Linked DNA regions of Saccharomyces cerevisiae S288C. Changing the gene in region 2 together with the main gene of any one other region gives a genetic interaction. Each region holds a gene or a part of one and is shown on either strand. Other genes may lie near its edges.

The links.
Region 1: mutations in APM4 (region 2) and PCA1 together harm fitness more than expected from each alone (negative genetic interaction), as found in Saccharomyces cerevisiae (2 studies listed by BioGRID).

What each region holds. Positions count from the first base shown.
Region 1 is NC_001134.8:788,548-801,566, reverse strand, and holds PCA1 (cation-transporting P-type ATPase PCA1), read right to left. Parts: upstream 8,719-13,019; coding exon 5,068-8,718; downstream 1-5,067. Other genes in the region: transcription factor MAL33, read right to left, coding at 1-1,044; TYC1 (Tyc1p), read left to right, coding at 1,325-1,444; PHO89 (Pho89p), read left to right, coding at 3,045-4,769; SUL1 (sulfate permease), read right to left, coding at 9,753-12,332.
Region 2 is NC_001147.6:203,968-213,948, forward strand, and holds APM4 (Apm4p), read right to left. Parts: upstream 8,029-9,981; coding exon 6,553-8,028; downstream 1-6,552. Other genes in the region: bifunctional DRAP deaminase/tRNA pseudouridine synthase RIB2, read right to left, coding at 1-504; phosphoinositide 5-phosphatase INP54, read right to left, coding at 764-1,918; MET22 (3'(2'),5'-bisphosphate nucleotidase), read right to left, coding at 2,136-3,209; CRT10 (Crt10p), read right to left, coding at 3,425-6,298; ribose phosphate diphosphokinase subunit PRS5, read left to right, coding at 8,277-9,767. UniProt on the Saccharomyces cerevisiae protein: Component of the adaptor complexes which link clathrin to receptors in coated vesicles. Clathrin-associated protein complexes are believed to interact with the cytoplasmic tails of membrane proteins, leading to their selection and concentration.

The DNA.
Region 1 (13,019 bases), on a different chromosome or scaffold from region 2:
GGTACCATTCATCTGAAACACTAGCTTCCAAGCCAGCGCCCTAATCCAATGTCGAGAAAATGAAATGTCCACATAGCCATAAGACCATGGTTCTATTTCAAGGGATGCTGTGTGAAGCTCTTTCCATATTTTTTTCAGTGAGTCTTCAGTGCAAGAACCGCTAGTAGACTCCGTAGCCAAAGCATCAAAAAAGCATTTACCTGGTACAGTAAATACTCTAATCATCTCAAAAAAGCTATCCAAAGAAAGTCGAGGGTCCGTTACGAACTCTGGCTGAGGTGGAGCTATTGTGGTATCCAAACTTGTAACACAATGAACATATACGGAATAGTATCTTTCCGTCAAGAGAAGCAAATAATACACCTTGCGTAAAAGCTGTTGCTCACGAAATGATAGTGATTCGTATGCTTTTTCACGATGTAACCCTGCTACAATAACAAGGCCAATAGCTTCACGACAAAGTCTGTATGAATTTCTTACATCAGAAGACTGTGAAAAACAACGTAGCAAGCAATAATATGTCATAATTCGGAAAATGTCTCTGCCGCTAAGGTCATCAAATTGTTGGCGTGAGGACATACAGAGAACGGCTAATTGTTTTCCAGTAAACGAAAATCCCCCCTCAGATTCTAATTCGCTTTGTAGATCGCTAAGATTGGCTGCTGAAAGAGCTACGAGAAACCAATAAACGTAATGGTCATTGTATTCTTCGTCCAAAAGCTTGTGAAGGTCATCATAAGAGAGTAAAGGCCAGATAACATATAGATTGTCGTGATAAAGCCTCAAACACTGATCAATCACCTTTTTAGGAACCTTCATTAATATTTCTGCCGCTGCCGTACAACTTTTATTATCTATAAACATTTTGGCCTTTGGTATATACTTTAAGCTTCTAGTTCCAATAGGCTTTGAGCCTCTTTTTTTTAATGGTTGCTGATATGTGCAATCGAAATTGTGCTCAATACAGCGACTACATGGTTTTTTACCATCACACTTTACTCGACGGACACGACAATAGTCGCATGCATACTTGACTAAAGTCATATTTAGAACATAAATATCTTCAAGATGCTCTCGTTCGATGTTTGATATTCAATATTTACACTCTAGTGTTTTCCCGAGAAAGAAACCTTCTGAAATGATTTTTTGTTCCTTTTTAATCTATTGAAAAATGGCGGTACGGACAATAAAATCCGGGGGCGGGGTAAATTGCGCATGGCCGTGGAATGTCACTGCAAAGTGAACGAGAAGATTAGAACACGGAATAAGGAAAACTTCTGGGGAATTTATTTTTCAAGATTTGGTTCCAGGTTTTTCCCCAGAAATGAAAGTGCTAGATGATTGGTTTTCAAGGAAGTTCTCAAAAGCTGTACACGGAAACAATCACGGCACCATTTCCTTGTCAACTCTGTCTTATATCAGAGTCCATAAACTAGTAAAATGACTTCGTAGAATCGAACAATATCTCACCATAAAATTTTTTTCACAAACAAAAAAGACGCTCTATTATACAAAAAGCTGCTGCGGCCCTTCTTAATGACTAAATCTTGACAACTGAGCTCTTTCACACCTGTGCAAAATCCAATGGGAGCAATAAATGTAACATATTTTTTTAACATACCACGGTAGGGCAATGAATATAAATAGATATTGGACCGTATCCTTTTCTGATCATCTTGAAAACATTGTCTTGCCTCTCAACAGCTTTATCTATTCTTCACCTCTCTTCGTTTGACTATTTCAGCATGTATTTTTTCACACAATTTTTCTTCCAACTATTTTCCAATATTACTACGAGAATTCCGACCACGGAAAAAAACTTGCGCTGTTCCAATCAGTCCCATTCTATCCATCTACCTGCCAGTGGTTTCGTAATATCGACTCACACCAGTAACGACATAACTGTTTTTTCGTTCATGATTTAATAGCGAGCCCACCTTTAACGCATATCTGCTTCACCGCTGAAATAATATTTTACGAGCACGCTAACACAATGCTTGTGTTTTCTGTTGAAATCACAATACCGTTACTTGGAGTGACCATTTATGGTTTGTTGAATTCACAGTACTCTCGTCAGCTTTGTCACGTATTCAACTGTAACCTCTTTGAATCTCAACACTACGTTGTCTTCGCGTGTACTAAATGTATCGATTATATAATAGTATTTAAAAATCATTTAAAATTGCACCATGTACTGTATAATGATTTTCTCAAGACGATATTTCGAGTTTTGCCGATGGGTCTTATAATCTCTTTTGATAGAGATACCTACTTTTAACAATATCAAAATTACTGATATAGGTTAATTTTTGTTCACGAGTAAGTACTTCAGTGACACTCGTCAGTAAAGAACATTAGCGGAATCGTTATAATTTCATTCCTTACATCCGTTTAATTTCATTAATTCGATGCATCTTTCTTTGGCGAAGCCAGAAAATCTAGTTTCAGAAATCTCGGTTTCACCCGCAAAAAAGTTTAAATTTCACAGATCGCGCCACACCGATCACAAAACGGCTTCACCACAAGGGTGTGTGGCTGTGCGATAGACCTTTTTTTTCTTTTTCTGCTTTTTCGTCATCCCCACGTTGTGCCATTAATTTGTTAGTGGGCCCTTAAATGTCGAAATATTGCTAAAAATTGGCCCGAGTCATTGAAAGGCTTTAAGAATATACCGTACAAAGGAGTTTATGTAATCTTAATAAATTGCATATGACAATGCAGCACGTGGGAGACAAATAGTAATAATACTAATCTATCAATACTAGATGTCACAGCCACTTTGGATCCTTCTATTATGTAAATCATTAGATTAACTCAGTCAATAGCAGATTTTTTTTACAATGTCTACTGGGTGGACATCTCCAAACAATTCATGTCACTAAGCCCGGTTTTCGATATGAAGAAAATTATATATAAACCTGCTGAAGATGATCTTTACATTGAGGTTATTTTACATGAATTGTCATAGAATGAGTGACATAGATCAAAGGTGAGAATACTGGAGCGTATCTAATCGAATCAATATAAACAAAGATTAAGCAAAAATGGCTTTACATCAATTTGACTATATTTTTGCCATTGCCATGTTATTTGCATTTTTGGATGCCTTTAACATCGGGGCAAACGACGTGGCGAACTCATTCGCGTCGTCGATCTCTTCTAGATCTCTAAAATACTGGCAAGCCATGGTTTTGGCGGGTCTCTGTGAGTTCTTGGGTGCTGTCTTGGCAGGCGCAAGAGTTTCTGGTACTATCAAGAACAACATTATAGATTCCTCCATTTTTACCAACGACCCCGCTGTTTTAATGCTTACTATGACCAGTGCTTTGATTGGCTCGTCTTGTTGGTTAACATTTGCTACTGCAATCGGAATGCCAGTTTCTACTACACATTCCATTGTTGGTGGTACAATTGGCGCTGGGATTGCAGCCGGTGGAGCTAACGGTGTCGTTTGGGGTTGGAGTGGTGTTTCTCAAATTATTGCGTCATGGTTCATTGCTCCGATTTTGGCAGGCGCGATCGCAGCTATAGTTTTTTCAATTTCTAGGTTTTCTGTCCTTGAAGTTAAGTCTTTGGAAAGATCGATTAAGAATGCTTTACTGCTGGTTGGTGTTTTAGTATTCGCCACTTTCTCTATCTTAACAATGTTGATTGTCTGGAAGGGTTCTCCAAACCTACACTTGGACGATTTATCTGAAACTGAAACTGCCGTATCTATTGTTCTCACAGGTGCAATTGCTTCGATCGTTTACTTCATCTTTTTCTACCCATTCTACAGAAGAAAAGTTTTGGACCAAGATTGGACACTAAAGTTGATTGATATTTTCAGAGGTCCATCTTTTTACTTTAAGTCCACTGATGATATCCCACCAATGCCAGAAGGCCATCAATTAACAATCGATTATTACGAGGGCAGAAGAAATCTTGGAACAACTGTTTCTGTTGAAGACGAAGAAAATAAGGCAGCGAGTAATTCTAATGATTCCGTCAAAAACAAAGAAGACATCCAGGAAGTGGACCTGGTTAGAACTGAAACTGAACCAGAAACAAAGTTGTCAACGAAACAATATTGGTGGTCATTATTAAAGCAAGGACCTAAAAAATGGCCCTTATTGTTCTGGTTAGTAATCTCTCATGGTTGGACTCAAGACGTCATTCATGCTCAAGTTAATGATAGAGATATGTTATCTGGTGACCTGAAAGGAATGTACGAAAGATCTAAATTTTACGACAATAGAGTAGAATATATCTATTCGGTTCTCCAAGCCATTACTGCAGCCACTATGTCTTTTGCTCATGGAGCTAATGACGTTGCCAACGCTACTGGTCCTTTGTCTGCTGTGTATGTGATCTGGAAAACTAACACTATTGGGGCAAAGTCCGAAGTTCCCGTGTGGGTTCTGGCTTATGGTGGTGTTGCCTTAGTTATTGGTTGCTGGACTTATGGTTACAATATTATCAAAAATCTAGGTAATAAGATGATTTTGCAGTCGCCATCAAGAGGCTTTTCAATTGAACTAGCTGTTGCTATTACTACTGTCATGGCTACCCAATTAGGTATTCCTACCTCAACAACCCAGATCGCCGTTGGTGGTATTGTCGCTGTTGGTTTATGTAACAAGGATCTCAAATCAGTTAATTGGAGAATGGTAGCCTGGTGTTATTCTGGTTGGTTTTTAACTTTACCAATTGCTGGTTTGATTGCCGGTATCATAAATGGTATCATTTTGAATGCTCCTCGCTTTGGTGTGGAATACCAAATGACATAATCATAATGTGTTTCGGTTATGAATACAGTTTTACAACATTAGGTAGAACTTTTATTGCTCAGTGACTTTAAAGTTAAAACATTTCTAATTTAAAACCTTAAAGATGCATTAATTTTTTTCTAATTTATCAGTTGATCTGCAATTACCTGGCATGGCTATGTGTATTTTTTTTTTTTATGAATTCCATCATATTAAATAGAAAACTAAACTAAATAATAAATAGAGTATTACAGAGTCGTCAAAAAAAAAAAAGAAAAGAAAAAAGAAAATCTACAATCAAATAGCAGCAGTACCTGGACTAAATCTTTGCATAACGCAGAAGTATAGCTACAAAAATTACAGGGAGGATACTAACTAGTTCCCCTAAACCCGCATACTCTGGTGGAATATGAAAGTCAACAAAGGCACCAGCCGCCAAAAGGATAGCAAATAAGTTGTAAGTAAAACTCCATAAGAAATTCAATTTGACCCTAAACATGGCCTTTTGACTTACAGTTATCATAGTCAAAATATTGTTGAGCTTTGGCTTTAACATAACTACATCAGCAGCTAGCTTGGCAACCTCACTTCCCTCATTGATATGAACTCCAATCGTTGCTTGAGTCAAACCAATTGCGTCGTTTGTTCCGTCACCGCAAAAAACAACAACCGGTCTTTTTGACTGCGAAGAACTATCGCAATTTCTTCCTTCGACAATATCCTTAATATATTCACTCTTTTCTGCAGGCGTTGCGTGAGAACGAATATTGGAGCTTTCAATTCCAAGACGGGCTGCCATAGAACGAACGGCTCCATCGTCATCCCCTGATAAAATGTGTAGTGAAATCCCTCTTTGGCGTAACAAGTTAATAGTGGAGACAGCATCTGCCCGTAAAGAGTCCTCTAATGCATAAACTGCAGTGACTGAACCATTAACACTAAAACAGAATACAGAATATCCTTGTTCAAGGGCTTTTCGAACGTCAGGATCATTGTTATGACCAAGCCAACGACAGTTCCCTCCTTGTAACTTCAAACCAGAGTATGATGTTCCTTCTACCCGCTTACCAGTCACAGCTTTTGTATTAGAAACATTTTGAGCAGAAACACCTTTTTCTTTGAGATAGGATGCTATTGCCATGGAAACTGGGTGTTTTATTCCTTCAGTTAATCCAAGCAACAAAGATTGAGAATTATGACGATCACCCCTAACAGTTTCATGTACTACAGTAAGTTTTCCTTCAGTTAGGGTACCCGTTTTATCGAAGACAACATGCGAAGTGTTGTGAGCAACTTCTATACTCTCTGCTGATTTGAAGATTACCCCTCTTTTCGCAGCGACGCCACTTGCAATAACAAATACGATAGGAACGGCAAGTCCAATCACGCAGGGACACGAAACGATAAGTACCGTAATGGCATATATAATGGCCTGAATTACGGCATCGGAGCGGGATTGCTTTTCCACACGGATTCCAACCGCTATCCAAACGCAAAAGGTGACGACAGTGATTCCAATGATAGTTGGCACGAAATAACTTGCAATTTTATCAGCGATATTTTGGATCTTTGGCTTAGTTAATTTTGCTTCATCAACCATCGTGGCTATGGTACTAATAGTATTGTTCCCTGGAAGCTTGCTCAGCTTCACAAACAAAGTACCAGTGCCATTCACCGATCCTGCAACAACAATTGATTGACACTTTTTCGGGACTGGCATAGATTCACCTGTGATTAACGCTTCGTCGACTTCAGAAGACCCAGAAATGACTGTTCCATCAGTTGGGATTCTTGAATCAGGTAAAACCTTAAAAATATCGCCATATTGGAGAAGTCTAATATTAATTTCCGTCTCTTTACCAGTTTTATCCACCAGAATAGCAGAAGAGGCCTGTAAGGAACGTACTGATATTGACTTTACAGCCCTATGTCTAGCTAGTTCACTCACAAAGCGACCAACCATGATGAGAGTTACAAGCAAAGAGCTGGTTTCAAAAAACTGCTCCGTAGATAACGGGCGTCCAACAACGAAATATCCAAATGATACAATCGAAAATATGTAGGCAGCGCTAGTGCTTAAAACTATTAGTAGATCCATTTCAATGAGCCTGGAAAATATCAAACTCTTCAAGGCATTTAAGTAAAACGGTCCTGCAATAACAAATTGAATAATAGTTGCTAGCACCATTGACGCGGAGATAGTGGAAATTTTTTCACGAAGCTGTGGAGCCCAAGCCATCACGAGAATCGGGATCGTCAATATTATGGATAAAGCGGTCGTGCAGCCTACACGAACTAAATGCTTCCTTCCCACTTCAATGGTTGGATGACAACTGAATGGAGCAATACTAACAGGCACGCTCCATCCTTCATTGACAAGATCTCTGGCACCTATAACCTTTGGGTCAAAGTAAATACGAATGATATTTCTCTCAACAATTTTCAGCTCTGTGACACCTTGTGGCCATTCCTCATTAATAAAATCTTTTGCTGCATAAGGAACAACAACATCTATAGTTGAACCATGATTTGAAATCTGTTCGTACTTGAATTCAGTAGTTTTGCTCAAGTGCTTGATAACATCCTTGACAGATCCCTGAGCAAGATCCAGATTAAATTCAGCTTGCGATAATATTAAACTGGTCTTCAAACCGTGAACACATTTGAGCGCGCCAAATGATTTCTTAAGTTTTGATTCACAACCAGTACAGGACATTCCTGAAACACTAAGAACAATGTGCTCGGTACCGGTAGATCCTGCCTCAAGATTAAGATGATTTTCAATTGGTTCCATTGATACGATTCTTGAAATTTCACTCGAAGAGTGTCCAGAAATAGTTGAGGTAACAGCACAATCCTTCATTTTAGTGCAACAACTTTTAGAACAAACAAAATCAGCATGGCCATTGTCATTGCTCAACCTTTCTTTGTCTCCATGGGTCTTTTTCTTTGTTAAACATCCAGAACTGTTGCGGTAGGAGTATTTTGTCTTTTTAGAAGCACCCTCCCCGCTACAAAAACGCACCTTTGGGAGACAACAAGATTCTTTTCCCAAAGTACGCAAATAGTTACAGATACAACCTAAATTTTTCAAAATTGAGGAGTAACGATTGTACATTCTAGAGTACTGTTCGCTGAAGAACTTCTCGCTTAAACTGTCGGTAGAGCTACTCCCAGAAATTCCAACATTGGTGCTACCTTTAAAAGTCCTCTTTTCACAGCTACGAGATGCAATCCGCTCAACACATGAAATGTTGCAGCACTCAGGCTTACTGGAAACCTCAATTTTCTGTCTGCTAACTTTACAACTTCTTTTCTTGAGTGTAGAGTCACTTGATTCGATGCAAAGCCTACCCTTCCCTGTGTGTTGGTTGGAATTGGTATTGCAGCGAGTTGTCTCTCTAATATCATGAATAGATTGCAGACCTTCAGATTTGCTTGGAACAACTTCAAAGCTGGTCAGCAATTGTTCTTTAGAAGATACAGCTTCGCAGCTGCCTGTAACTTCCTCGACCATCACTGAAGAATCTCTAACGCAGCATCCATCAACACAGGATTCATTGGTGTGGTCACCACCTGTTTGAGCATCGCCGCAACAGCTGTCCACATCCAAGCCAGTCTCAGTGTCGTTCACTTTCTCAGCACAACATTCATCTACACGGGATTCATTGGTGTGATCACCACCGGTTTCAGCATCGTCTACATCTAACCCAGCCTTAGTCCTATTCTCGCCATGATGGCATATCTGCTCAGTCTCACTCAAACATTCCTGAGGAGTAATTTTGGGCCGATTGGTACAGTCTCGCTGGGAGACCAATCCCAGATTGTCATTAGCATGCATTTCTATGGATCTACGATGACACTCGCCTCTATTATCTTGCATAGCATCTATTGATATGTTCTCGCTATTTACCACTCCATACTCGCCATCGCTGGTACCTAAACCGGAGAAGAGTTTTTCCGGCTTCATCGTTATCAGCAGCTTTGGGCTCTTTCATTGTATAAATCCTGGAAGCATCTCGAAAATATCTTGCTTTTATATTTATAATTGCACCTTATTTATGCCAAGTGTAGGCTTTTCATGCGATTTTAAAGAAAAATTCCTTGTTGGCGCCTAAATTTTGATTACCTAACCCATACATTCGTTCAACCTTATATTTTTAGAAAGGCCTGTTATCAGATCATTTTCCGAAAACTCTTCAGAACCAATTTCAAAAAGACAACTATTTGACACTTTGTTGGTTTTCTTCAAAACAGTGATGGATTCATCCGCTCGAGGAGCTAAAATGGGGAATGAATTCCTTCCAAATAGAAATAGTACTTACTTCATTGTATTGTTGGAAAATATAAATCGATATTAACAATAAGAAAATTATTCCATTATTGATTTATGAGATTAAAATCACACAGCCTACATACAACTCAATAACGTTATCTGCCTTGCAAAACTGCCTCTGTATATATATCGATGATCTTCAAAATATACTATTTTAAGAAGTGTTTTAATTGAAGGATTAAAGTACAGGGTAACTTTTTAAAATTCATTGTATTGCTAAAATAGTATTTTTCTTTTCAGATTCATAACAAAACATAATTTCTTCCACATTAGGAGAGACAAGCCGTCCAAACTCTTTCCGCCTAAAAACCATGAAATAAATTCAAAAAAAATTAGGAAAATGTTGCTCTATCTAGCATAAGCTTAATACTTAAATGCATTTTTATTTTTATTTTTGTATTTTCAAAGGACATTTGTAGAAAATAGGCTCAAGCTCAAGTTAACTTCTAGACCATGTCTTTTCAGCGCCTTAAACTACTGAAAACGGCCCTTTTCGTGTACTAATGCTTTCAGGAAATTATAAAATTTATTTTTACTTTCGCCATTCAACATACTCAAAATAATAAATATTCCAGCTATTTGATGGTAATCTACATTAATAACACAATTATCTTTTCATGTATAACTAAAAACAGGGGGGGTAATTAAAGTACTTACTATCTACTACACTAAACGTCCCATTTAGAAAAATCGGGTATATCGATATGAAAAAACGGTAAATTTGTCCCAGTTGCAGCACATAATGTTTCATAGTTACTGTAAGATGTGCTTATACGGCTGTCTTCATCAGTATAATCCACATCATCCTTCAAAACTTTTGCAACGTGAAAACTAGAATGGCCAGCGATAATAGAGTCGTCACTATATTCCTCATTTGTAGTTCCGAATTTAACACTCAAAAGACTTCTTTTGATCCATGGAGATATAATTCCGGCAAAATGGAATTCGACTTGTCTATCCGCATACCTATTCACAGCTTTTCTCAGATCAACCAGGCTTTGAACAGCGGTTGAATCCACTTGAGCAACTTGGGAAAAATCCAGGCAGACGACTTTCAGTAGCGGCTTTTCATATGTTTCTCCGTTACTGCTTCCATTCGATATCGGTAGGTCACTATTCGTTGTTGCTGAATGACGTTTAAATTTAAATAGTGATTTCAAAGAATCTGGCATTTTCCATTCACCAGGATCATTCCATGGACGGTCTGACTTTTTCCTTAAGGTTATAAGTTGGCCTCGCCTTGTTTCTTCCTTAATACGATCAAATATAATGTCATAATGCCTTGAGCAGTTCACGTAAGTAAAGCTATCACCCAAACGATAGACTATGACACCTGGTGGAGGAGGCCGAACTGTGGTATTGATATTCAATTCTCTTGAGTATCCATGATCGAACGGAACCCACTTTACGCTAAACTTATACTCTGGGGCTGGTAAAACCTCAACAGTAGACTTAACCTGTTTATTCAGTTCATTAGGTAATTCATTAGATGATATCACAGCATCAATATCCTCTTGTACTGTTGGGTTCAATACTTCTGCCACCTCAACACGACCAAGGAATTTACCAGCAGGGAAAGCCTGTTTCAATAGTAACATTGCACATGACCAACACATTGCAAAATATATACCATTTTCAATGGATGAAAATACTGTGATGAACACTGTAACGATAAATGAGATACAATCTAACGGGTTGGTCTTCCAGAAGGTCCAGGTGGTTTTGTAAGAAGTCAGCAAATCAGAAACAGCATGAATAATAACCGCCGATAGTGTCGCTTTAGGAATGAAAAAGAAGGCGTCAGTTAAACAATAAAGTGCTAATAGAACGCAACCGCCAGTGAATACCCCAGAAAACGGAGTGCGCACGTTACATTTTGCTTTCAAAGCAGATCTGGAAAATGACCCAGTTGCTGGATATGAGTGAAAAAATGTCCCTATCAAATTTGTCACACCAATCGCAATAAGTTCTTGGTCAGGGACAACCTTGTAGTCGTTAATTCTACCAAAGGATTTTGAAATAGCGATGTGTTCTAACACCAGAACGATAATTGAAGCAGGTATTTCTGAACTCATATTAGATAGCAGACCGTCTGGGATTTTCATAACTCCCACCTCATTTAAGCCCGAGGGAACTGTACCCAGAATACTGATTGGACGGTCTTTTGAAGATTTGTTTCTTGTTATGCTCCACGATATGGCAGTAAAAACTACTATGACGACGGCATTTCTCATAGCTTGTGCATAGAAATAGAAGGATTTCAGTCTATTTGCTACCTTTGGTTGATTTCGATAATATCTATCTGCCAAAGTTATACCAAATGTACCACACCACCATTTCCATACATAGAGGATTACCAACGGAATCAAGCCAAAAACGGCGTCTAACTTTGTGTTTGGTAAATGTTTCAGAGTGTTAATTACAACCTTATACGTTGCTTCTCTGGTATTCACTAATGAGTTGTATCCCATGAGAGCCGGAATTTGACCCCAGATGATGTTAAATGCGGAACCGGTCATGAAGCCAGCAACAGCATTTAGAGAAATAAGTTCCACTAAAAAGCCTAAACGCAGTATACCCAACCCAGTGGCGACAATCCCACAAAGCAAACAAAGGGTAGTTGCAATGATAGGAGCTGTAACTTCTGTCTGGTCTTCGGGATATTTTTTTAGAACTTCAGCAATGACTTTGGCAGTTTGTAGTGACATTACAGCGACCGGACCAATACAAACATCTTTCGATGTGGCAAACAAAGAATATATAAACGCACCAATAAAGGAGGAATACAAACCATATTCAGGAGATAAACTAGCGATTTGTGCGTATGACATAGATTGGGGCACGAGTACGCAGCCAACTGTAATTCCTGCCACTAAATCAGCATAGCCCCACGTAAAGTTATAATGAGGAAACCATTTTATAATAGGAAAAAGAGATACGAGGTAACTTCCTGCCGATTTCGCAGTTAGATTGTTTTTGATAGAATGATCATAGTACTCCTTCAAAGTGACTGTGCTCTCTTCATACGCTGGAATGGAATCGTACAGGACATCTGATAGCTCATTTTTCGTTACCCCAAATTTCTGCTTACTACTATTAACCTTCCAATTTTCCTCATCACCATTGTGAAGTCCGTCTCTGTTTTCTGCCGCCTCAGATTCCCTATATGTGCGGTATTCTGATTCAAATACTTCGATATCAGCATCCTCCTGATTATGCACATATTCAGTCGAGCTCTTACGTGACATATTCTTTCCGAGTATTCTGCAGGGATTTATTTTTATTTTTAAAGCTATTGACCTGGTTTTGAGACGTTAATGTCAGCTAATATACTTTTATATAATCGGTTTCACAATTTTAAATCGAAAATTTTTCTACAATAGAAATATTAAGTTTGAGCAGTACAAGATCCATGTGCATTACAACACATTTTACTTCACTATTTATATTATTCTTTTGGTCTTTGTTTCTTTTTTTCACAGTGCATAATTTCAAATGACAGTGTTCGAGAAAAGACATGAACAGGTAGAAGTGTTCAAAATTATTATGGGTCTAATTTGACAACTTGTTCGTTATCGCTTGCTGCGTGGGGAAGGTGTGGAGTTTTTCTGGGATCTGTGACTCAAATTCCGATTTGCAAAATTGCAAAGCCGCACTGTGGTTCCAGCGAGACTATAAGAAAAAGTCAGATTTGGACAATTACACGAGATCTTTATTAAAAAAAGTGCACTCGAGGTGGCGGTAACACAAAAAAGTGGGGGGACTTTACAGCAAGTTTTCTGAAGCCTTTTTTCATTGGTTTGTGACTATTTTAGGTTATCACAGCCACATCTTATTCACAGATTATGAAAGTAGTATGTATTTAGTTAAAGTTTACAGAGGATAAAAAAACTATAGAGATAGTTGCATTCGCTCACAGTTCAGCACTGTCGGTC
Region 2 (9,981 bases):
TTCGTCTTCAAACACAATATCTATTGGTTTAGATGTGACTGGCGGTTCATGTCGATGTACTTTATGTGTGATCAGATCACCGTCACGAATGATGGTATCAAGGTTTGCAGGTTCATCGTTTAAGTATACTTTTCCCTCTGCAATGGTTTTGGAATAATAGCTGGGCTCTCGATCCCTGAATTCGCTCACGAATACATCCACCAACTTACGATCTCTCCACCTCTCCTTACAGAAAGTTTTATAAGTGAAAAAATAAGGCTCAATCTTCCTTAAGGGTCCATCAATTGTCACTTCATAATCAGGGTCTGTCTTTTTAGTTTTGTGCCCATCGGTTTGAATAACTCTCAGTCTGAATCCACTCGCATCTTTGACTTTGGAACTGTTTTCGTTCCTATTATTATTCCTGTTCGCGAATTTTCTTAACTTCACTTCCTTTGCAGACTCAATTTCTTTGTTTAATAAGTTGTTGAAGTCATCGCTGGCTTCATTATTAGAGTCCTCCATTTTGATTGGTTTGTTAATCTAATATTGATAGTTTTTTTTTTAATGTTCTTCTCTCTCTTCTTCCTGTTTTTTCATGGCAATAATTTTGACTAGTTTTTCTTTTTTTTTTTTTTTTTTCATTCTTTTTCATTATTACTTAAGTTCTGTAAAGATATATGGAAGAGAAAATAAAAAGAATAAAACCAAAGATAGTGGTACAACTGACGTTATCTGTTTCAGACATAAATGAAAAACTTCTAGCCTGACAGCCCAGATCACTTTACAGGATTTTTAATAGTAAATATAATAGTAAAGAACCTAATATCCAATAATGTACATTCTTAGTAACTAGCCAACCGCAGTACCCGATGACTGCGTCACCAATTTGTCCAATCAGGCCAGAGCTCCATGATAAAGGATACTTTTCGATATGTAAGGATAACGGCACTGGCGTCCCTGTAGACCTTGGTAATCTTACGGTAAGATTAACGGGTTGATGATCGCTAAATAATAGAGCATTGGACCTAGGGACGGAATGGTAAGTACCTTCTTGTGCGAAAGTTGGCACTGCATAGCTTTTGTAGAGAATCCTATCGCACCACGACGGGATTCTTTTTGTATTATATGTTTCCTTTTCAAACAACTTGAATTTGTATGTCGGTGGAAATGTTATCTTCAGCTCCTGAAAACCTTTGCATAACGGTTCATCCTCTCCTTTACGTAGCAGATTTAGTTCTTCATGATTTTCTAATAGACGCCTTAACGTTGTGGTGGACGAATAATTGGTAGTTGGATCATAAGTACTAGTAACCCTAAAATTCAAATCGCCTAGAAAGAAAAAGTGGTCGCTTTTTGCAACCTCAGAATCACACACTTCACTCATTATTCGTTTGTAATCATCTATTCTTTGATTTCTATTGTTGACACCTTCATTTGCATTTAAATGAGCACAAATATAGCTAAATCTTTCCCAGTTCTCCTCGCCATTGCGTGTCATCTGAAAACTTATCAAAGTTCCACCTTTCAAGTGTGTACCAAACCAACCGCATTTCCCATTCCGTTTCAAAATATCATCTTTTACCTTTAGCGCATTATTATTGTATAATACTATTATGGTAATCGCCCCAAGACTATTCACCCCTAAACATGAATACTGCTCATCCCCTTGTGTAGCTGACACTTTTTCATTCAGACAATTAACCGCAGTAGTTGTAATTCTATCGATTAAATCACGATTAACAGCAGGGAAGGAGCCTTGCCATATGGGGACTACTTCTTGGAACCCCAACACATATAGATCTTGCAATTCCAATTGGGAGATGCCGTCATCGTAGGGGAAAAGCAATTGCTTAACGATTGCTTTCGAATTTTCAACGGGAAATTCCTTACCACAATTGAATGTAGTTACAGATACCTTCCAATTCGTTTTGTTCATTCGGTCAGAATCCTGCTGTATTTTCTTGTCTCACTTTTCTTCTTTGTTAGCCTACTCTTACCTCTTCAGTTTTGTTCTTTTCACTGTATTTTCCTTTTTTCACGCTATAACAACAATAAAAAAAGGTTATCATTTAACTGGTATGTACATACACATACACACATATATATATGTACTCATATATTTATGTCTATCAATAAAGTAAAATATATGTTATTTAGGCGTTTCTTGACTGAATGACATCGCATGATGTAGACACCACCAAGTCATGTAACTCGCGTGGGCCACTTGACGCTATAACTCCCTTCGTAGCTAGCGTTCTACCGTTACCGAAGTCTAGAGGAACATCTTCCATGGCATCTGTATGGATACCTCCAGCTTCATGGACAATAACGTTGCCTGCAGCATGGTCCCAGATCTTTTCTTGGTAAGAAAGTTTGATAGGCAGACGTAAATATACGTCTGCTAAGCCCAATGCTAACAAACAGTACTTGGCTTGAGAATCCAAGTGCAAAGATTTGGATATATTTAGTTTGTTTTTGATAGCAGTTTGTTCATCATGAGAGGAGTGTCCCTTTTCAACTCCCTCTAAAGTAATCATGTCTTTAGTGTCTTTTAAGTGTCTAACGTGGATTTTGGTCCATGACTCTGCATCTGAAGATGGAGAATAGAAGGCACCTAAACCTCTAACAGCACGAAAGATATAACCAAATGACTCATGGCCTTTCAAATCTTGGGCCCCATAAGAACTTAAAACTAAGTTGGGGCATCCAATACAACCAAGCTGAACAACACCGTCCACAATTAAGGCCAGACATACTGCAAACTGTTCACCTCTTAAAAACCCCTTGGTTCCGTCAATAGGATCCAAACACCAAAATCTTCCTTTTCTACCACCTTCGTAATTGCCGAAATCGATGATTTGCCTGACGTCCTCCAAAGATTTTAGCGGAAACTGATCGTTTGTAAACAGAAAATCATCCTTTTTATAATTCTTGTTATAAACTTCGTCATTGGCTTTTATTTCGTTTAAAATTCCTGAGACGAATGCGTCGCTCAATCCTGATGAGGATTCTTCACCAACTACCTTATCATCAGGAAAATTGCTCTTGATAGCATTTATGATGATCGTTTGTGCAGCATAATCACCTGTGGTTACTGGAGAATTATCATTCTTGGTAATAGTAGTGGAGTCCTTGTGAGAAATCACTTCAGATTGAATTCTCTTAGTCAATAAAGACGCCTTTCGTACAGCTTGAGTTGCAACCAATAATTCTCTTTCCAATGCCATAGTAAAGTGCTGATGTCTTCTGAGTTGTCTTTAAACTTCTTACTTACTAACTAATAAATTAAAGAGAAGTGCAAACGTTCTTTATATGTGGCATGGTTTCTTCTTTGCAAACTGAAAGTAAAATCGCAACACGTGATATTGCTCGTCTGAGTCATTCGCGCATTTCAATGAAGGAAGGATTATTATATAGATGGCTATGTAAATGTCAAAATATGCTATTGTTGAGTTGTTCCATGCTCAGTTGTGATCTTGAATGCCCTCAAGGAGCCTCTTGATGCTACGTATAAGGTAGCATATCCCTTACGTTTTAACTCTTCACTGTCAGATGCATAAGTGTAATCTAGTCCGCAAATATCACCCATGGGGAAATAGACGTCGCACACGCCGCAGTATGTGTCCGAGCTCTCTCCATCTGCACCATACATTGGTGCGTCAAACAAGTTCCTGTTACATCTGCACTCTGGACTAGGGTTAACAGGGTCTTGGACTTCCCATCCAAGAATATACTCTTGTCTAAACGAATAGATGCCTCTGTACTCTGTTAGTCTTAGTAATGAAATGAGACCCAATTGTGAAGCCACGGCTATGCAATTTAGTTCTTTGATGTGACACACAAAATTTATTCTGTTTAGTGCTTGGAGCAGCGACTTGGAAGCACACGTCACAACACCATCTAAGGGAAAAATCTCATGATGAGTTGCTGATATAATTATGAGTGGATTTGCTTTCATCAACACCAGCCTATGGGCTGTGGTTAGGAAGAAGAACTCGTCGTGCATTTCGGATAGTTGATACCCAAGAGGCGAATCTTCTGAGCCCGGTACTGCTGACTCTAATAACCGCTTGACGTTTCTTACATAGTTGTGGAACCCCCAAGATTTCTGCGATTCTGATTTCAAGTGAGCACGCTGTTCAGTATCCCTATATCTTCGCTGGAAACTTGTTAAGCTGCTACCAGATTCTTCATTTTCAGGGTCGCTATTGACATCGTCCTCTTCTGTAGAGTTCAGTTGAAGGCTACAAATTTCTGGGTCCTTCAAGACCGTGTTCAAATCCTTGCCAAAAAGTGTTCTCCAATCGGCAGCGGCATCGGTGTTGTACCATAAAAAGTTTCCCGATTCAATATTTGGTATATGATTTACTGAACTTAGCGATTTGAACTCTTTTGAAGTTCGTAGTTGTCTTTGTTTATCCATTTTCAAATTACGAATACTTCTATTAAATTCGCGAGATATATCTTCAATATCATTTTCGAGATCAGTAAGTTTATAAGTAGACGGCTCACAGATCTTTCTCCCAGAAGTGTTTTGATATTGCGATGTTTTATTTCTTCCACTAGGAGTTATCAACTGTGGAAAAGTATTAATAATATCCTTGTATTTCGAAAATCCACGCTCAGTAGCACGATAATGTTTATAACCAGAATCCTCCCAAAATGTCCATTGGTGTAAATGCTGTTCACATGAGGTGTTTTTTGTCACTGCATCATTCATATCGTCTAAGTCACCGGCATGTAAAATAAGTGCAAAATCCTCTCTGCTGTACTCGTATTTTATCGAGCCCGTTGTAGTGTAATTTCTATCAAATGAGGTAAATCTTAATGGTATAACTTCATCGGGGATCCCTGCTGAAGAAGTCAGTCGTAGGTCTGTGACAGGAACCTGAAATTGATTGAGTAATGTACCAATACCGAAATTCCCAGAGAGGTAGGCGTTATCACAGTAATACCCAAGTAAAAAATCATCTCGGCAAATAGAATATAACATGCTTTCTTTGAAACCGTCTTGGTAGTTAAGATTCAACAATTCGAAATTGTCAACTTTCGCAAAATCCTTCTTAGTCAGTGGAGTTATTGTCCATAAGTCGTCGCCAAAAAATTGAGTATCAAGGAAACTCGTTAAAATGGTACAATCATGCTCCTTTAATTTAACGGTAACAACATTCCCAAATATAGAACAATAACTTAATGTAATATATCCAACAGAATCTTTTGAATTAGGAACAAAGTTAACACAAGGAACATTGTGAGATGAGGGAAGATCTAGAGGCCGAATGTACCGTCTTTCCTTCTTTACATCTTTATCGAATGCAAAGACTGTAACTCCAGGCTTGTTATGGCCAACAGCGATATATATGATGCCATTTATATCTATTACATCAACACTCCAACAAGATTCCTCTACTCTTAACACCATATATGGATCAACATTTATGTATCTTTCCCGGCTGTTATCTTTGCCTCCCAAGATATCCGAAGTAAATTTATTAAATATCTTAATAACTTTGTTGATTTCCCAGATATAAACGATTCCGTTGTCACCGCAAGCTAGTAGAAAATCTTGATGCATGAAGTTACAAATCTTCATAAAGTTGATAGAACATAGTTCAGGTATGCTGTTGAACTGTGTATCCTTAAATTTCACATATGATGAATTGCGGAAGTTTCTTACATCTCCGTCATCTGGTATTATCACGGGCAATAAGGCGTGACATATTTCTAATGACGAAACGTTCAATAGTATATCGAAATTATGAACTTCGACGCATTGACCGGCAGCCAGGAAGGAATAACTCCCATAAGTGACGAACAAATTGTTCTTGAACTGCAAACCACCATAAGCAAACCTATTTGTGTATTGAAAAGGTGCGAACTCTAGTGGTATCTCTTGAACAAGTAGTTTTTCGTCCTGTGGCAATAGTAATTCAGCTGGATTCAAAAGCCTTGATGGTCCCCAGACGGGTTCTAAGTTGGAAAATGCAGATTTAGTATCCTCCAAGAAGGCTTTCTTGAATGAGTAAGCAGGATTTGGGATTTTCCATGAAGAGTCATGTTCTTCTAGGTTGTGTAATCGTTCTTTAATAAACTCCACGGTTTTTGGATGAAACGAATTGCAACTGGAGTTTGGCCACTTGAGTTGATAATATTTCTTTAACGTTATTATCTCATTCGTTATATTCCAGCCACCAGACGCCAGAAATACTTCTGAGTCAAAGCACTCTCTTGTCGATACTGCCCTTTGTATGATGGCCCGAGACTTAAGCCACCTTGTAAAGAGATCATCATTTTCATTGGGAATCTGAGGGGGCATTATATTCAAAACCAAATTTTCAAGCCTAGAAGTACCAGTGCCTCTTGATTGCGCTGTTGATCTTCATTACTATGGTGTTTTTGGTGTCTTGTATGGTTTTTCCATGTTTTTTCCCTGTTTTCTTTTCAATGAAAAACTAAATTGCATGTCTCTCATAATAGAAAATATTCAATATTAACAAAATGTGCATTCTAAAGGAAATTACTATAAAAAATACAGGCATGATAAAAATATATGTACACAAAAATTACGGGCTAGTACCTCACCTCGTAAGAACCGGCTTTCGATATATATTTAATCCATTTTACAGCACGATGCTTACTGTCTTTTCCAGAAATGGTAAAGTATCGTACGACTAAGCCAGAATTACTGAACATCATGACCTCGAATTCCAGGGATATTGGAGGTCTTGTCCATTGTTGAAGATTCAATTGAGTAGTATCACTTGTGGACACAGTAACTGCACTTAAAGTGTTTTCCGTCAACCCATTGTACTTGTTGAACCTCCAAATCATTGCATTTTCTTCTGGCACAAACTTACAGTGGCCATTAGAGACACTTATCTTACAATCCACAGTGCTTGGTGGAACGGGTATATGTAGTACCACATCTTTGGCGGAAAGTTTTCCAGGAAATAAAGACTTCAATGTTATCCTGTAATCAATCTCGTTATCTCTTGTAGAATGTGTAACAATAGGTGTAACCTTGAACGGCAGGTTTATGTTATCTCGTACATGATATTTCATCAACTCCATCGAACCGTCTGGTGGGACGAATTCAATGATATGATTTCTGTTAAATTTGTCAAGTGAGACACATTCGTGAAACTTGCAATCTTCCAACAAAACACTACCGGCAGCAGCTTTGGGAATGAAGTTCTTGTTTCCAAAATCGCTGCCAGAGTGACGCTGCTGCTGTGCTAACCATTTCTTCTCGTCTTCGGACTGCATTCCCAAAGAATCATTCAATCCAAATCTACAAATAGGGGTCCCACTCAAGTGTGTGGTGATATCTATGGTGCCATCAACGTATGATTTCAAGATAGAACCATCCCTAGATACCAGAATGTTTATCCTCTCATTGACATACAAGAAAACTTCATCCTTCTTGTGTATTATCCCCTTGGGCCTCCAAGTGATCTTATTGTTATCATAGAAATCAGAAGTGGAGTCTCCTTGACCCAGGAAACTACTGCTTCTTTTTGTCAAAAATTTGGGAAAATGTAGTTCTCCTGCTGAAGAAGTAGGAGATGAAGAGGAAGATAATACATCATTTCCATCGGGACTATCTAACAATCCGCCCATATTTCTAACGGGTTTCACAGACATCTGCGCTATAACAGAGTTCAATTCAGTGTCAATTGGTATCCCATTTCCACCCAACATTATATCCAGCATCTCATGCACAATCATGAATTCCTCTTTCAAGGCCTCCTCTCTATCCAATCGATAAGCATTCATCACTGCATCAAGCTTATATAAGAACTCCCAGATCGCCGCACTATTAGCGTTGCTTCTCGTAATGGTTACCAACCACAAATTGTCACCATGCCTCGACCTGATGTGATGGAAAGTAGTTGAGCCCAGTGTCAAAACAGGCGATCTAACATCTAGATTATTGATCACTTGTACTCGGAAGATATCGGATATGGACCGCTTCAACGAGTTCTTGAAGAACTTGTTCAAGACAAGTTCACCTCTCGATGAGTATACCAGCACACCACTAATCATTGCTCACCATAACTCTATGTGATTCTTTTCTCCAACCGTTTATGAAAGGTTTCCACACTTTATCATCAAGTTCTCCTATACTAATCAATTAAGGAAAATATGGCTGTTACCCTTCGACCGCAGTTGAAAAAAATTTTCTATCAAATAATAAATGGCTACGATTAGCGAGAAGGGCTGGATGAGATGAGAGTAAGTTGGTCGAAAGTGACTTTGTTGGAGGTTGCTACGAGGCTAGGAACGCAGTCTGGATGTCAATGAGTAATATTGTTGTTTTTGGAGGGGACTCGCACCCCGAGTTAGTTACTAAGATCTGTGAAAATTTGGACATTCACCCATCGAAAGTAGAATTAGGGAAGTTTTCTAATGGGGAAACGAACATTGCTCTTCGCGAATCTGTTCGTGAAAAGGATGTATATATCATCCAGAGTGGTTGTGGCCAGGTGAACGACACGTTCATGCAGTTGCTGATTTTAATCAGTGCCTGCAAGTCCGCTTCTGCCTCGAGGGTTACAGCCGTAATGCCATATCTCTGCTACTCGAGACAGCCAGATATTCCATATACTGCCAAGGGTGCTCCCATAATTTCCAAGCCTAAAGAAAACTATACTTTTGAATCGCATCCAGGCACACCCGTGTCATCTTCTTTAATGACGCAAAGACCAGGTGCTGAGAGCTCGTTGAAGAGTTTGGATAGTGCAATACGATCAACTATCAACTTAGAAAATCCTCAACCTATCAGAACACCAAACAGCAGTGCTACGGCGAATAACAATTTCGACATCAAGAAGACGCTTTCTTTTTCAAGAATTCCTATGATTCCCGGTGGTAAGTTACAAAATACAAGCAATAGCACGGACGCTGGTGAATTGTTCAACGCTCAAAATGCAGGCTATAAGCTATGGGTAGTACAAGCCGGTACTTTGATTGCTCATTTGTTGAGTGCTGCAGGTGCTGACCATGTGATCACAATGGATTTGCACGATCCACAGTTCCCTGGGTTTTTTGACATTCCAGTGGATAATCTCTACTGTAAACCCATTGCACAAAACTACATCCAGCATCGCATTCCAGATTATCAGGATGCTGTGATCGTTTCTCCAGATGCTGGTGGTGCAAAGAGAGCTACGGCTATTGCAGACGCCTTGGAATTGTCCTTCGCCCTAATTCATAAAGAAAGAAGATCTCAGTTATTGAAGGGCCCTCCAGATGCGACGTTAACCTCTGGTGGTTCGTTACCAGTATCTCCAAGGCCATTAGTTACTACTTTGGTTTCCTCCCAAAATACTACTTCTTCAGGTGCCACTGGGGTTGCGGCCCTTGAAATGAAGAAAACAACTTCAACATCTTCCACCTCGTCGCAATCTTCTAATTCGTCCAAGTTCGTTCAAACTACCATGCTTGTTGGCGATGTTAGAAACAAGGTGTGTATTATAGTCGACGACTTGGTGGATACTTCATACACTATTACAAGAGCTGCGAAATTGTTGAAGGATCAAGGATCTACCAAAGTTTATGCCTTAATAACGCACGGTGTTTTTTCCGGTGATGCGCTAGAAAGAATCGGCCAAAGTAGTATAGATAAGTTGATCATTTCTAACACGGTTCCTCAAGATAGAACACTACAGTACCTAGGTAAGGACAGAGTGGATGTTATTGATGTCTCCTGCATAATCGGTGAAGCAATTAGAAGAATCCATAACGGTGAATCCATTTCTATGTTGTTCGAGCATGGATGGTAGTGGCATTGATGTGTTCATTTTTTTATTGATAAAAATAGGGGAAAGTGTCTATATATTTTGCGTATAAAATTCTCTACATTTTTTTTTCTTTGTTTAGTATGTGTATTGAAACATTTTATTTATAGGTTAGAGAAACAAAAAAAAAAAAACTGCAATTTCTTCTTGTATGTCTGTAGAAAAAATTTTAAGCTGCTCTCCCCTGTGATTTCATGCG